Linked DNA regions of Arabidopsis thaliana. The protein of the gene in region 2 interacts with the protein of the main gene of each other region in a pairwise test. Each region holds a gene or a part of one and is shown on either strand. Other genes may lie near its edges.

Evidence for each region. The genes of interacting proteins can lie anywhere in the genome.
Region 1: the proteins of PR5K (region 2) and GOS12 interact in a protein complementation assay, tested with the Arabidopsis thaliana proteins (one large-scale study listed by BioGRID).

What each region holds. Positions count from the first base shown.
Region 1 is NC_003071.7:18,636,974-18,641,826, reverse strand, and holds GOS12 (golgi snare 12), read left to right. Parts: upstream 1-1,787; 5' UTR 1,788-2,186; coding exon 2,187-2,319; intron 2,320-2,709; coding exon 2,710-2,960; intron 2,961-3,428; coding exon 3,429-3,518; intron 3,519-3,632; coding exon 3,633-3,704; intron 3,705-3,819; coding exon 3,820-3,949; intron 3,950-4,040; coding exon 4,041-4,138; 3' UTR 4,139-4,310; downstream 4,311-4,853. UniProt on the Arabidopsis thaliana protein: Involved in transport from the ER to the Golgi apparatus as well as in intra-Golgi transport. It belongs to a super-family of proteins called t-SNAREs or soluble NSF (N-ethylmaleimide-sensitive factor) attachment protein receptor.
Region 2 is NC_003076.8:15,292,500-15,299,541, reverse strand, and holds PR5K (PR5-like receptor kinase), read left to right. Parts: upstream 1-1,958; 5' UTR 1,959-2,261; intron 2,262-3,632; 5' UTR 3,633-3,703; coding exon 3,704-3,764; intron 3,765-3,854; coding exon 3,855-4,542; intron 4,543-4,803; coding exon 4,804-4,859; intron 4,860-4,942; coding exon 4,943-4,975; intron 4,976-5,057; coding exon 5,058-6,164; coding exon of another isoform or gene 6,165-6,217; exon of another isoform or gene 6,218-6,346; coding exon 6,347-6,420; 3' UTR 6,421-6,494; downstream 6,495-7,042. UniProt on the Arabidopsis thaliana protein: Possesses kinase activity in vitro.

The DNA of each region.
Region 1 (4,853 bases), on a different chromosome or scaffold from region 2:
ATCTGAGAGGAAATAGAGATTAAGAGAGTGAGACGAGACATGGACTAACGAGTCAAATAAAGAGTGATTCATTTGAACGAGAATAAATAAATATATCAATCTTTTTTACATTTTCTTGATTTTCTCTATAAGAAAGAAAAAAAAAAAGACAATTTCTAGGGAAAACACAAATTCGAAAATGATGTGAACGGACAAAGAAGAAATGCTTTCGATGTATATAAAGTATAAACGTTAAAGAAGAAGAGATCAAGAGAAGAATGAGTGAAAGACAAGAGGTCTTTAAAGGAGTTTATATGGAGTCTAAATAAATGAACGGTTAGATGAAGACTAAGGTCTATGACCGTTGGATTAGATTAAAACTGCCATATTTCTCTTGCTTGGCAGATAGTCCAAACCCGAAGAATCTACATTAAATATGACACGTCCCATTAACCTTTAGCCTACATTTATCATTATCACTGAAACGTTTTGATGGGTTATCAATCACAAATTCACAATACGAAAAAAAACAGTAGTGTCAAACTATTATGGTATTTTAGCGTGTAATTCGTTACGCAGATATTATTATCTATGGTTGATTTTGAATCTGAAAATATGATCTATCGAAGAAAGGCCTGAAATTATTTTATTATCTGAATATGTTTTGTCGGAGCTTACATGCTTAGCATGTTTGAACTTCGAAGATGAAGACAACTATGCCACCACACGTGTGCTGGCCAAGTGGGACAAAGTTTTGAACCTATTCGGTAACACTCACACGAGATCAAATCCCCACCATCTCATTTTATAATGTCGTTTATTTATTTGTTAGTGATCATCTACTGTTTTTTAATAAGGTTAGTGCCCTAGTGATCATCTACTTGTCTGTGATTTTGTAAAAAATATATATAGAATTAAAATTATATTACGAGAACAAAATGTGTACGGTGTGTCCTCTAGTTGCGTTACTTGTGTACGTTGATGATGGTTGATATATATACATATTCATATCAGGACAAAAAAGCTTTTAAAAAGACCAATAAAGATAGATCTAGTTTTGAGTAATTGGAGGATTCACTAAGCTTTTTGGAGCTAAAATGGTGAATTTCCCACGAATCAAATCTGAGAAGAGAAGCTTTCTATATTTTGAGTTACTTTACACAATTACACGTTCATTTGTAAATTAAGATCGTGTTTGTGCTGCATCCAAAAAATTCTTGGAATTTTAAAGTAATGAAATATAACTAAACAAAATGACCACTAAAAAATAAAATAAAAAGCACATGAGAGATGAGTGATTATACTCTGATAAATTAGCTAACAAAATTATGTATATATAAAAAAGGTTTTATGCAGTGTAAATTGTACTTACACACTTAATCAAAGCAAAACAAAAATATTAAACCGACAATAATACGTAAACCAAAAAACCAATATTCCTTAAAATCAATTTGTGTTTCCAACCGACAAGTTCTTTGTATATATGGTTAATCATATTTTGTTGTAGTCCGTATCCTAGCTAAAAGACGTTTAAACGTTCATAATGGATATGACCCACCCAGCTGGTGAAGATATTCGTTTTTCGTGATCATATATATATGTTTCTTTTTGCCCATCCCTGTTTCTATTAACCCAAGTTAAATTAGCTATATATGAGCAAAAACTATGAGTTGAAGTTAAGCACAATTTCCGAATCACAAAAAAAAAACAAATTGATTTGGACCTTTCGATAATAGGAATCAGAAAGAAGTTTGTTCCAAACACTTCTCTTATATAAATCCCAACTCATCAGCTTCGTGTTTCCGTACAGTGCGTACATATACGAACGTGTCACTCGGCTTTTAACGTCAACTTAATCGAGAGCCCAATTCAGGCTTACTATAAGCCTTAATAAGCCCAATATTAAAAGTCCCTGATTATTGTGAGCCCAATATTAAAAGTCCATGACTATGGTGAGCCCAATAATAAAAGTCCATGACTATGGTGAGCCCAATAATAAAAGTCCTTGATTAAAAGGCCCATCACCAGTGGAGCGAAGAAGCGGAGGAGGGAAGAGGGATGCGATCCTCTCGTCATCGCTGGTTCCATCAGTTTCAGTGAGAATCAGATCGTCGTTGTACTGAGAGCTCCGGCATTGGTTCACGGCGGAGCTGGAGAGTTATCTAAGAACGGAGAGGTTACTGATCTGAATTGTTGAAGATCGGAAAATGACAGAATCGAGTCTGGATCTGCAGGAATCTGGTTGGGAAGAACTTAGGCGGGAAGCTCGTAAAATTGAAGGAGATCTAGACGTTAAGCTCTCTTCTTACGCTAAGCTAGGCGCCAGGTTTACTCAAGGCGGTTCGTTCTTCTTCCTTTCCGCTTGATCATGCTATCTGTGTCTTTCTTTGTTATTTCCATTGCTTTGAATGTTGCTGTTATGTCTACTATCTGAATGTGGGGGTTAGTAGTCTGTAATGTGATATAGATCTAGGAATCAATGTTGGATATGATCTCTTCACCGAATTGAATTTGATCGCCATTGTTTGCTCAGTCTATGTTATGCTTCCCCAATGCTTAATTCATGTGTGGTGTTTGGTAGAGTAAAGTTAAAATTGGTAATGTTTCTCTCAGATTCCTGTCAAAATTATTTTTCTGTGAATGACTAAGGTAAGAAGAATTTTTGTGTGTTAAGCTTACTGTTTTGCATTAGCTTTCAGTTTTTAAGAATTGCATTGTTGTATGTATCAGATACTGATCTTGTTATGAATTATGAGAAAGTATTGAAATGTGTTTTGGTTTCAGGGTATGTTGACACTGGGTCTCCAACCGTTGGATCGGGGAGATCATGGAAGTCTATGGAGATGGAAATTCAATCGTTGCTTGAGAAGTTGTTGGATATTAATGATTCCATGAGTAGATGTGCTGCATCTGCTGCACCCACAACATCGGTTACTCAAAAACTAGCAAGGCACAGGGATATACTTCATGAATATACCCAGGTTTTCTTGCACCATATTTGACTTCTTTCCTTTCTAAGCTCTTTGTTGTATTCAATAGCTATCCCCATCACGTAAGTTTATTTGTTATTTTTCGAAGTTTGAATGACATTTTGGAGAATTATAACTTAGTAATATATCGGGGATCTCAAACTTGAAAATTCTGATCATGCTATTGATGCAACAATCTTCAGCTAAATAATTTTGGTGCATTATGCATAAGGTAGATAAGTTGATAGATGCCTTTGCATAGAACAAAGTTTTGGTACTCCTATCCACTGTTTGCGTATCATGCATCAGTGATCAGTGATACTAGCTGAGTAATTGCAGTCCCATTTTGAAAAGGAAAACCCCTTTGCACTAGTGTAGATTTGTTTAGTGATACTTATGTGTGTTCTGTAGTAATATGAAATCATACGTATTATAGGGCCTATTTTTTCATTATAATGATATTTTAATGTGAACTTGTAGGAGTTTCGAAGAATAAAAGGAAATATAAACTCGTTGAGAGAACACGCTGAGCTTCTGAGTTCTGTCAGGGATGACATAAGTGAATATAAGGTAAAGATCCTATAGCCTCTTAGTTTAGAAAATGAATATTCTTATTATTGGAGATACACATTCTTCTATGCTCACATTTTGATTGGAAGTTGGGTTCTGTTTTTGCTTCTGCAGGCTTCTGGTAGTATGTCACCAGGTGTGCAAGTGTTAAGGGAGAGAGCTTCAATCCATGGAAGTATATCCCATGTAAGATACTTTCTGTAATCATGGCATTTGTAATCTGAGTGTTATATTCTGTTAATAATAGCCCACTTTGTAAGGTAATTTTCTAATGAGGATGTTATGGAGAATTTGGCTGCAGATTGATGATGTGATTGGTCAAGCTCAAGCGACAAGAGCAGTTCTTGGCTCTCAACGATCTCTGTTTTCAGATGTTCAAGGGAAAGTAAAAAATCTCGGAGACAAATTCCCAGTGATTCGTGGCTTACTTGGTATCTCTATTCAACCTCTATATGATATTCTCAACTAATCTCATTAGCCTTCTATTATCCTTAAGCAACTTTTGGTTTTTTCAATTAATAGGCTCAATTAAAAGGAAACGTTCTCGGGACACACTTATCCTCTCCGCTGTCATCGCTGCTTGTACGTTGTTTCTAATCATCTACTGGCTCTCAAAATAAACAGAATGTTCATACACCTAAGCTATAAAACGAGTTTGCCTTGACATCCCTAGATCGATTTTTTTACAAGTTTTTTCTTGCTTTTGTGTTTTTGCCATTATGTTGGGTTATATGTTTGTAGGACAATATTACACCCTGAATCATATCGTAAAAGTAAAATTCGAAACATATATTTCACAACATCAAAGATCCACCCATGTGACTTCATTCAGGTACTTACTTTTTATTACCACACGCTTAAATTCTTCAACATTGGTCCAACATACAATGTGGTCCAATACAACACATTATGCTCTGTTTTATTATGTTAGATTTTTATTACTCTCTCTTTCCCTTAGTTTGGTCCTCTCGACCACAATACTTTGTACGAAAAAGTAATCCAACTCATAAATTCATCTTTCAGCTTACATTTACATCCACTCAGGTCATAATATCTAAAGGCCTCACTCTCTTTATTTTGAGTGGGTACACACTTCACTAATGATGATCCAGTCCCTTGTATTTATTTTCCTGTCTATACTCTTATGTGCCCTACATATAGTTTCAAGAAGTGCTAATCAATGTGGTTCGTACCGGTTTAGAGATATTGTGGTGGGCCAAAGCCCACATAATAGCCAGGCCTGATTGACTTTTCTAAGTTTTCGTTCCTAATAAGTAATAACTATATGGTCAAATTATTGTGGACCTATCAAAAACAATTTGGGTTAGAAAAATA
Region 2 (7,042 bases):
GAGGATGCTTACTGAAAAAGATTCTTTAATGGCGAAGGGGTTCAAAAGTAGGTATTTTAGTAAATCTGATCCTCTTAATGCTCCCTTAGGTTCGCGACCATCCTTTGCCTGGAAAAGTTTTCATGAAGCACAAGTGCTTATTAGACAAGGTGCAAGGGCAGTGGTTGAAGATGGAGTCTCTGTGAATATCTGGACGGATCCTTGGATCGATTCTAAACCGGCAAAGGCTATCCAAATGATGAAAAGAATTCCTCTGGACAGTCAACAAGCGGCTAGTGCTATTAACTGTGTTAAAGACGTAATGTCGTTGGATGGACGAGGATGGAATAACACTCTAGTGAAAATGCTGTTTACAGAGGAGGATCAGAGGAAAATCTTGGGTCTCCGGCCAGGGGGTAAGGATACAAAGGACAGGTACGCTTGGGACTTTAGTCGCTCCGGTCACTACTCGGTGAAATCAGGTTATTGGGTCATGGCTGAGATTATCAATAAAAGGAGTGCACCTCAAGAAGTCCTTCAACCAAGCTTGGAACCAATTTTCCAACAGATTTGGCGGTTAGAGGTTCCACCTAAAATTCATCATTTTCTGTGGAAATGTTTGAGTAACTGTCTTTCTGTTGCTGGAAACCTTGCCCACAGACACCTGGCTAGAGATAAGGGCTGCGTTAGATGCCCATTCCTAGGAGAGACAGTTAATCATTTGCTTTTTAAATGTACCTTTGCCCGGCTTATTTGGGCAATCTCTCCCTTCCCAGCTCCTCCAGGGGGTGAATGGGTTGACTCTCTATATTCAAACATGTCTCATGTCCTCATGTGCAATCAGTCTCAGCCTCACAAGGCTGACTCTCATGAGATGGTACCCTAGATTCTTTGGAGATTGTGGAAAAACAGGAATGATCTAGTGTTCAAAGGAATAGAATTCTCAGCCAAACAGGTGATCCTTAAGGCTACAGAAGATTTGGAGGAATGGAATAACCGCAAGGAACCGCAGCCACAAAAAGTTCTCCCTCAACCGCCAGGCATGCAATGCAGGAGATGGCAACCCCCAAGCTACGGTTGGGTGAAATGCAACACAGATGGTGCCTGGGTTGATGTAGCTCCGAACTGTGGCGTTGGATGGGTGCTGAGAAACCAGTTTGGAGAGGTGTTGTGGATGGGGCTAAGGGCCTTACCAAGAGTGCAGTCGATGCTGGAAACTGAGCTTGAAGCCCTGAGATGGGCAATCCTTTCATTGTCCAGATTCAATTATAAAAGAGTGATCTTTGAGTCGGATTCTCAGTTCTTAGTGTCTTTGATCAAGAATAATATAGACCATCCAAGCCTAGCTTCAAGGATCCAAGACATTAGGAATCTCCTCCATCACTTTGATGAAGTCAGGTTTCAATTCATATGGCGTGAAGGAAACAGAGTGGCCGATAGAATTGCAAGGGAATCTCTTTCTTTAGTGAATTATGATCTCATTTTGTATTCTGTTATGCCAGACTGGATCAAACACATTGTGGTTTTAGAATCCGTGTAATCGAACGTTGGATAATATAAAGTTGTTGTTGAGCCAAAAAAAAAAAAAAAAAAAAAAAATTCAGAGCCTGTCTACAACGTACATATATGTACGACATACGTTGAACAAGCTAATCCTGTGATACATGACGAACGACACTACCTATAGTACTCTTAGTACTGGAACCTCCCATAGACAATTAACAATCAACAACTAAAAAACGAATCCCATACTTCATGTAAAAGGTTTAAAAGGTCAAGGAGTTTCCACTATATATCTTCTTGTAGCCAAAAGTTCAAGTCAATAAGACATGTTTTTATAATGATTAAGCGCATAACAGTAACAAGGGGTTAAAAAAATAGAAAATGCAAAAAAATGAAATAAACAAATGCAGAAACTACAAAGAAGACGCGCTTGAATCGACGACATAAAAGAAGACAAAAAAATTCGACATGACCCATACAATCCATTAACCAAAAAAAAAAAGAATGAAAAGGAAAGTTTTTTCATAGGTTTCATCAACTCTTAGTAAAGAGAGAGAATGGATCTGAGATCAATTAAGCCACTAATTGATTCATCTGAGATCAATTAAGCTACTTCTTAGAGCGAGTCTAATCCTTACTTCTCTTCGTGGAGTCAACAAATTTTGTTGTTGTTCCATAACGCATCTTCAAATTTCAATTGTTTTTTTCATTCATAAACTTGAATCACAGGCTTGGTCTTGGAATCATTGGTCAAAAGAGAGAGGCTACAACTTTAAAAGGTAAACCAAATATGAAAAGAATTGATGTTGATCTTAAGCTTATCTTGTTCCCTTTGCTGCTCTTGTTTAGTGTCTCGGTTTTTGCTTAGGGGAGTCTGTAGATCGAGTCCAATACATCTTCTTGGCATGAGCTTAGTCGATGCATTGAATCAATCTCGAATAGTTTATGCTTCTGTTTTTAAACTTTTTTTTTTCTTTTTGCATGAAACCATGTTTTTAGGATTTCTTTTATGCAATGTTTTGAAACCCGATCCGGACGATGAACCGGACTACCTTTTGGGTCACCAGGTCATCGGGTCAACTGGATTAGACCACGAATTAATTAGTTAAAATTTATTTAATAAATTTAATATTAATAGAAATTTTAGAGTATTTTATAAAAAAAAAAATTTAGTATTATAAATATAAAACAAAAATAATCATATCATATTTAATCAAATATAAAATTATATTATGTTTAACAAAATATAAAATCATTTACACCCAAATATATATAGAAAAAATCAAACAATAATAATAAAGTGGTTAAAAATTTGAAATCCAACTAAATGTCTAACACCGTAACAAATATATTAGAAGATCATCAATGACAGAAATAAATTAATAAAACATTGTGAATTCAAACAACTAATCTCGGTTGTCTCTCTCACCATTCAATTCAATTTTAAGGCGGTATTGTAAAGTCTTCACCAAAATCTAAAACATCAAATGAATTTAAGAACTGAAAAAACTTTTAAAAATAATTGAATAAATTCTAAAATCTCATATTTTATTATAAAATCAAGAGAACTTTTTAAAACCCACACCCGGCCGGTTCAACCGGTTCACCGGGTCACGAGTTAATTGCGAGTTTTTGTGGGTTTTTTCGGTTTTGAACTTGTTGGGTTTTAGCACTAAACCCAAACCGGAAAAGTGTTCGGGTCACGGGTTAACCGGTCGGACCGGACGGTTCGGGTCGGGCGTGAAAACACTGCTTTTATGTAAAAAATAAACTTTCATTTTCACTAATGATTTTTTTTCCTATTAAATCAAAACCCAAGAATTAATATATGAAAATAATTAGGGGACGCAAAAAAATTTAAAAGAATAAGGACAACGATGTAATAAATGATTTTTATAATAAATGATGTTTTTATATAAAAGAGGTAGATTAAATGAGATTTTATGATTTCGTTTGTAAAAACCTTAAACTACAACCAATATGAAATAGAGGGAGTATGTTTTACTCGGTAGATAGGTTACTATTCAGTACATCAGATTCATGTCGCATTAATTGGATTACAAAGATGTTTGTTGCTTTTATAAAGGGTAGTCATATATCTTCCTTTTGTCTATGACTTTATAACATTTCAAAATTTTAATCCTGAATAGGCCTTCAATAACGTTGGACCGGCTCTAAGAGGACAAAGGGTAGTCTTATATCTTCAGTCTTCTACAAGCCAATGGTTGAAGGGTTCTCATTGTCATTGATGTTCCTCCTTGTTTCACATTTCTTTGTCTCAGGTACGGTCACTTCCACATAAGTATAATTTTTGGTTTAGTCGCTATTTGATGAATTTTCTTTCTTATTTTAAAATTTTGTTTTAATGGCAGGAGTAATGTCGAGAAACTTTACTATAGAGAACAAATGCGATTACACTGTCTGGCCGGGATTCCTAACCATGACTACTGCGGTTTCGCTCCCCACCAACGGCTTCTCCCTCAAGAAAGGGGAGTCACGTGTCATCAATGTGCCACCGTCATGGTCAGGTCGTTTGTGGGGTAGATCGTTCTGCTCCACCAGCTCAACAGGGAATTTCTCATGTGCCACGGGAGACTGCGGCTCCGGAAAAATCGAGTGCTCCGATTCCGGAGCAAGGCCTCCTACGACGCTAATTGATTTTACCCTTGACGCTACCGACGGTCAAGACTTCTACGATGTAAGCGTCGTGGATGGTTACAACCTTCCGTTGGTTGTGGTCCCACAACGTCTAGGGAGTGGCCGGACATGTAGCAACGTTGGTTGTGTGGTTAACTTGAACAAGACTTGTCCGTCGGAGCTTAAAGTGATGGGAAGCTCTAACAAGGAACATCCCATTGCTTGCATGAACGCTTGTCAGAAATTCGGGTTGCCGGAGTTCTGCTGCTACGGTGAGTACGGTAAACCTGCAAAATGTCAACCGACGCTTTACTCTACGAATTTCAAGAACGAGTGTCCACTCGCTTATAGCTATGCTTATGACAATGAAAACAACACCTTCAGATGCTCAAACTCACCTAACTATGTCATCACCTTTTGCCCGTAAGTCCTCGTATATAACTCTCCTCTAGTAACTTTCTATTTCGTCAAAGACATCCTACAGCTTTAATTTTGACCATTTACTCTAGTTATATTTTCTAGAATGTGGTAATGTAAATAATCAATAATTGCAATGCGTGTGGGGATTATAGCTGAGATTTACCCTAATGTCTGATTAGCTAGCGTGTGCCTATTGATTTTTAAAACATTGGTCTTTCGGACAAACTATGAAACTAATATGTAATAATGTCACTTGTTGGATAGCAACGACATAAGTTCAATGTCTCAACCATCCAAGGAAACTAATGGAGGAACGAAACGTAAGTTTATTTTATTTACTTTTTCATACCTTATGTTATTTTAATTTTTGCTTAAAAGACTTTTTGTTTGAATGTTCTTACAGAAAAGTCATCATGGAAGTTAAAACTCATAGTTGGTACCATATCTCGCTCAATCCATAGTACTTTTGTATACGAAAAACACCTCGTTTTTAATTCTTCTTAATTATCTTATTCCAGGAGTCTCAGCAGCTTTGACCCTGATGATCTTAATTGTGGTCGTAATAATAGTGAGAACAAAGAATATGAGAAATAGTGAGTGGAATGATCAGAACGTTGAAGCAGTTGCAATGTTGAAACGATACAGTTATACAAGAGTCAAGAAGATGACAAACTCATTTGCGCATGTTCTCGGTAAAGGAGGATTTGGAACTGTCTACAAAGGAAAGTTAGCCGATAGCGGTCGGGATGTCGCAGTTAAGATCTTGAAGGTGTCAGAGGGTAATGGAGAAGAGTTCATTAATGAAGTAGCAAGCATGAGTAGAACATCTCATGTCAATATTGTTTCTCTGCTTGGATTCTGTTATGAAAAGAACAAGAGAGCTATAATCTACGAGTTCATGCCGAATGGGTCCCTCGACAAGTATATTTCTGCGAATATGTCAACAAAGATGGAATGGGAAAGATTATACGACGTTGCGGTAGGTATCTCTCGCGGCCTAGAGTATTTACACAATCGGTGTGTCACGAGGATTGTCCATTTCGACATAAAGCCGCAGAACATACTGATGGACGAAAATCTTTGTCCTAAGATTTCAGATTTTGGTCTTGCTAAACTCTGCAAAAATAAGGAGAGCATCATATCAATGCTACACATGAGAGGGACCTTTGGATACATTGCCCCTGAAATGTTTTCCAAGAATTTTGGAGCAGTTTCGCATAAGTCAGATGTTTATAGTTATGGGATGGTAGTTCTTGAGATGATTGGAGCAAAGAATATAGAAAAGGTTGAATATTCTGGATCTAACAATGGTTCAATGTACTTTCCAGAATGGGTCTATAAAGATTTTGAGAAGGGAGAAATCACAAGGATTTTTGGAGATAGTATAACTGATGAAGAAGAGAAAATTGCAAAGAAATTGGTATTGGTTGCTCTATGGTGTATACAGATGAATCCATCAGACCGTCCACCAATGATCAAAGTCATTGAGATGTTAGAGGGGAATCTAGAGGCTCTTCAAGTACCACCTAATCCTCTCTTGTTTTCACCCGAGGAAACGGTTCCAGACACTCTTGAAGATAGTGATGACACTTCAACCTTCTTTAATCCAAGTCATTTTGAAAGAGGTACTCTCTTAGATAGTGAAGATGTTTTACAACATGGGTCAAGGTCCTCCTAAACTAAAGTCAACCGGAGAGCGGATCTCTTTAAACTTGTCATGATCTTTAGCTATTTCTCGATTAGTTTTTAATAACTTCTGACTTAATAGTGTGTTTCTATGCTTATTAGATGATGTTTACTGACGCAGGCACTCAATATTGTTGGTTAATGAAGACTATTTTCTGTTGTTTTTCTCTTGGAAAGAGAGAAACGTTAATATAAACTCCCCAAAACAATGTTAAGATATCAATAAAATTCTTTTGTGTTTCTTGATAAAATCTTACGATAGGCGTTCAATTGTTTATAGTAACTTTTGCGCCAAATTTAATGTTCTTGTTCGTTAACCCCAAAAAAATTTAACCGTTTAGCAAAGAGAAAAAGGAAAATTCTAACCATTTGGAGATATATATCAAATTTTGTGGGATTGAGTAATGTTCAGGGTGTAGGTCTCCTTGATCAAGTGGTTGACCACATGTTAATAATTATTTGGATAATTGCATATATGCCATTTTCACGATTTACGTATATGAGTGTATACAACTTAATTAATTTCTAACTATTTTTTTCTTTTTTGTACCAAACACTATTTATATTAAGTTATCAGAAAGAGATTTTCCTATAAAGAAAGCCATTCAGGAACCGATTTGCTTAGATGGGAAAAAAAGACATTTTCGTGCCCGAGTTTTCTTAGCTAAATTATCTGCTCGAGTATTAAGACTACGAGGAAGAAATCTAATACTAAATGAAGGGAAAAAACAAATTAGAGACCGAAAAAAGCCAATTCCGCTGCAAATAAAAATTTGGATAAACTAAATTCTTGATTCTTGTTGTTCTGTTTTTGATT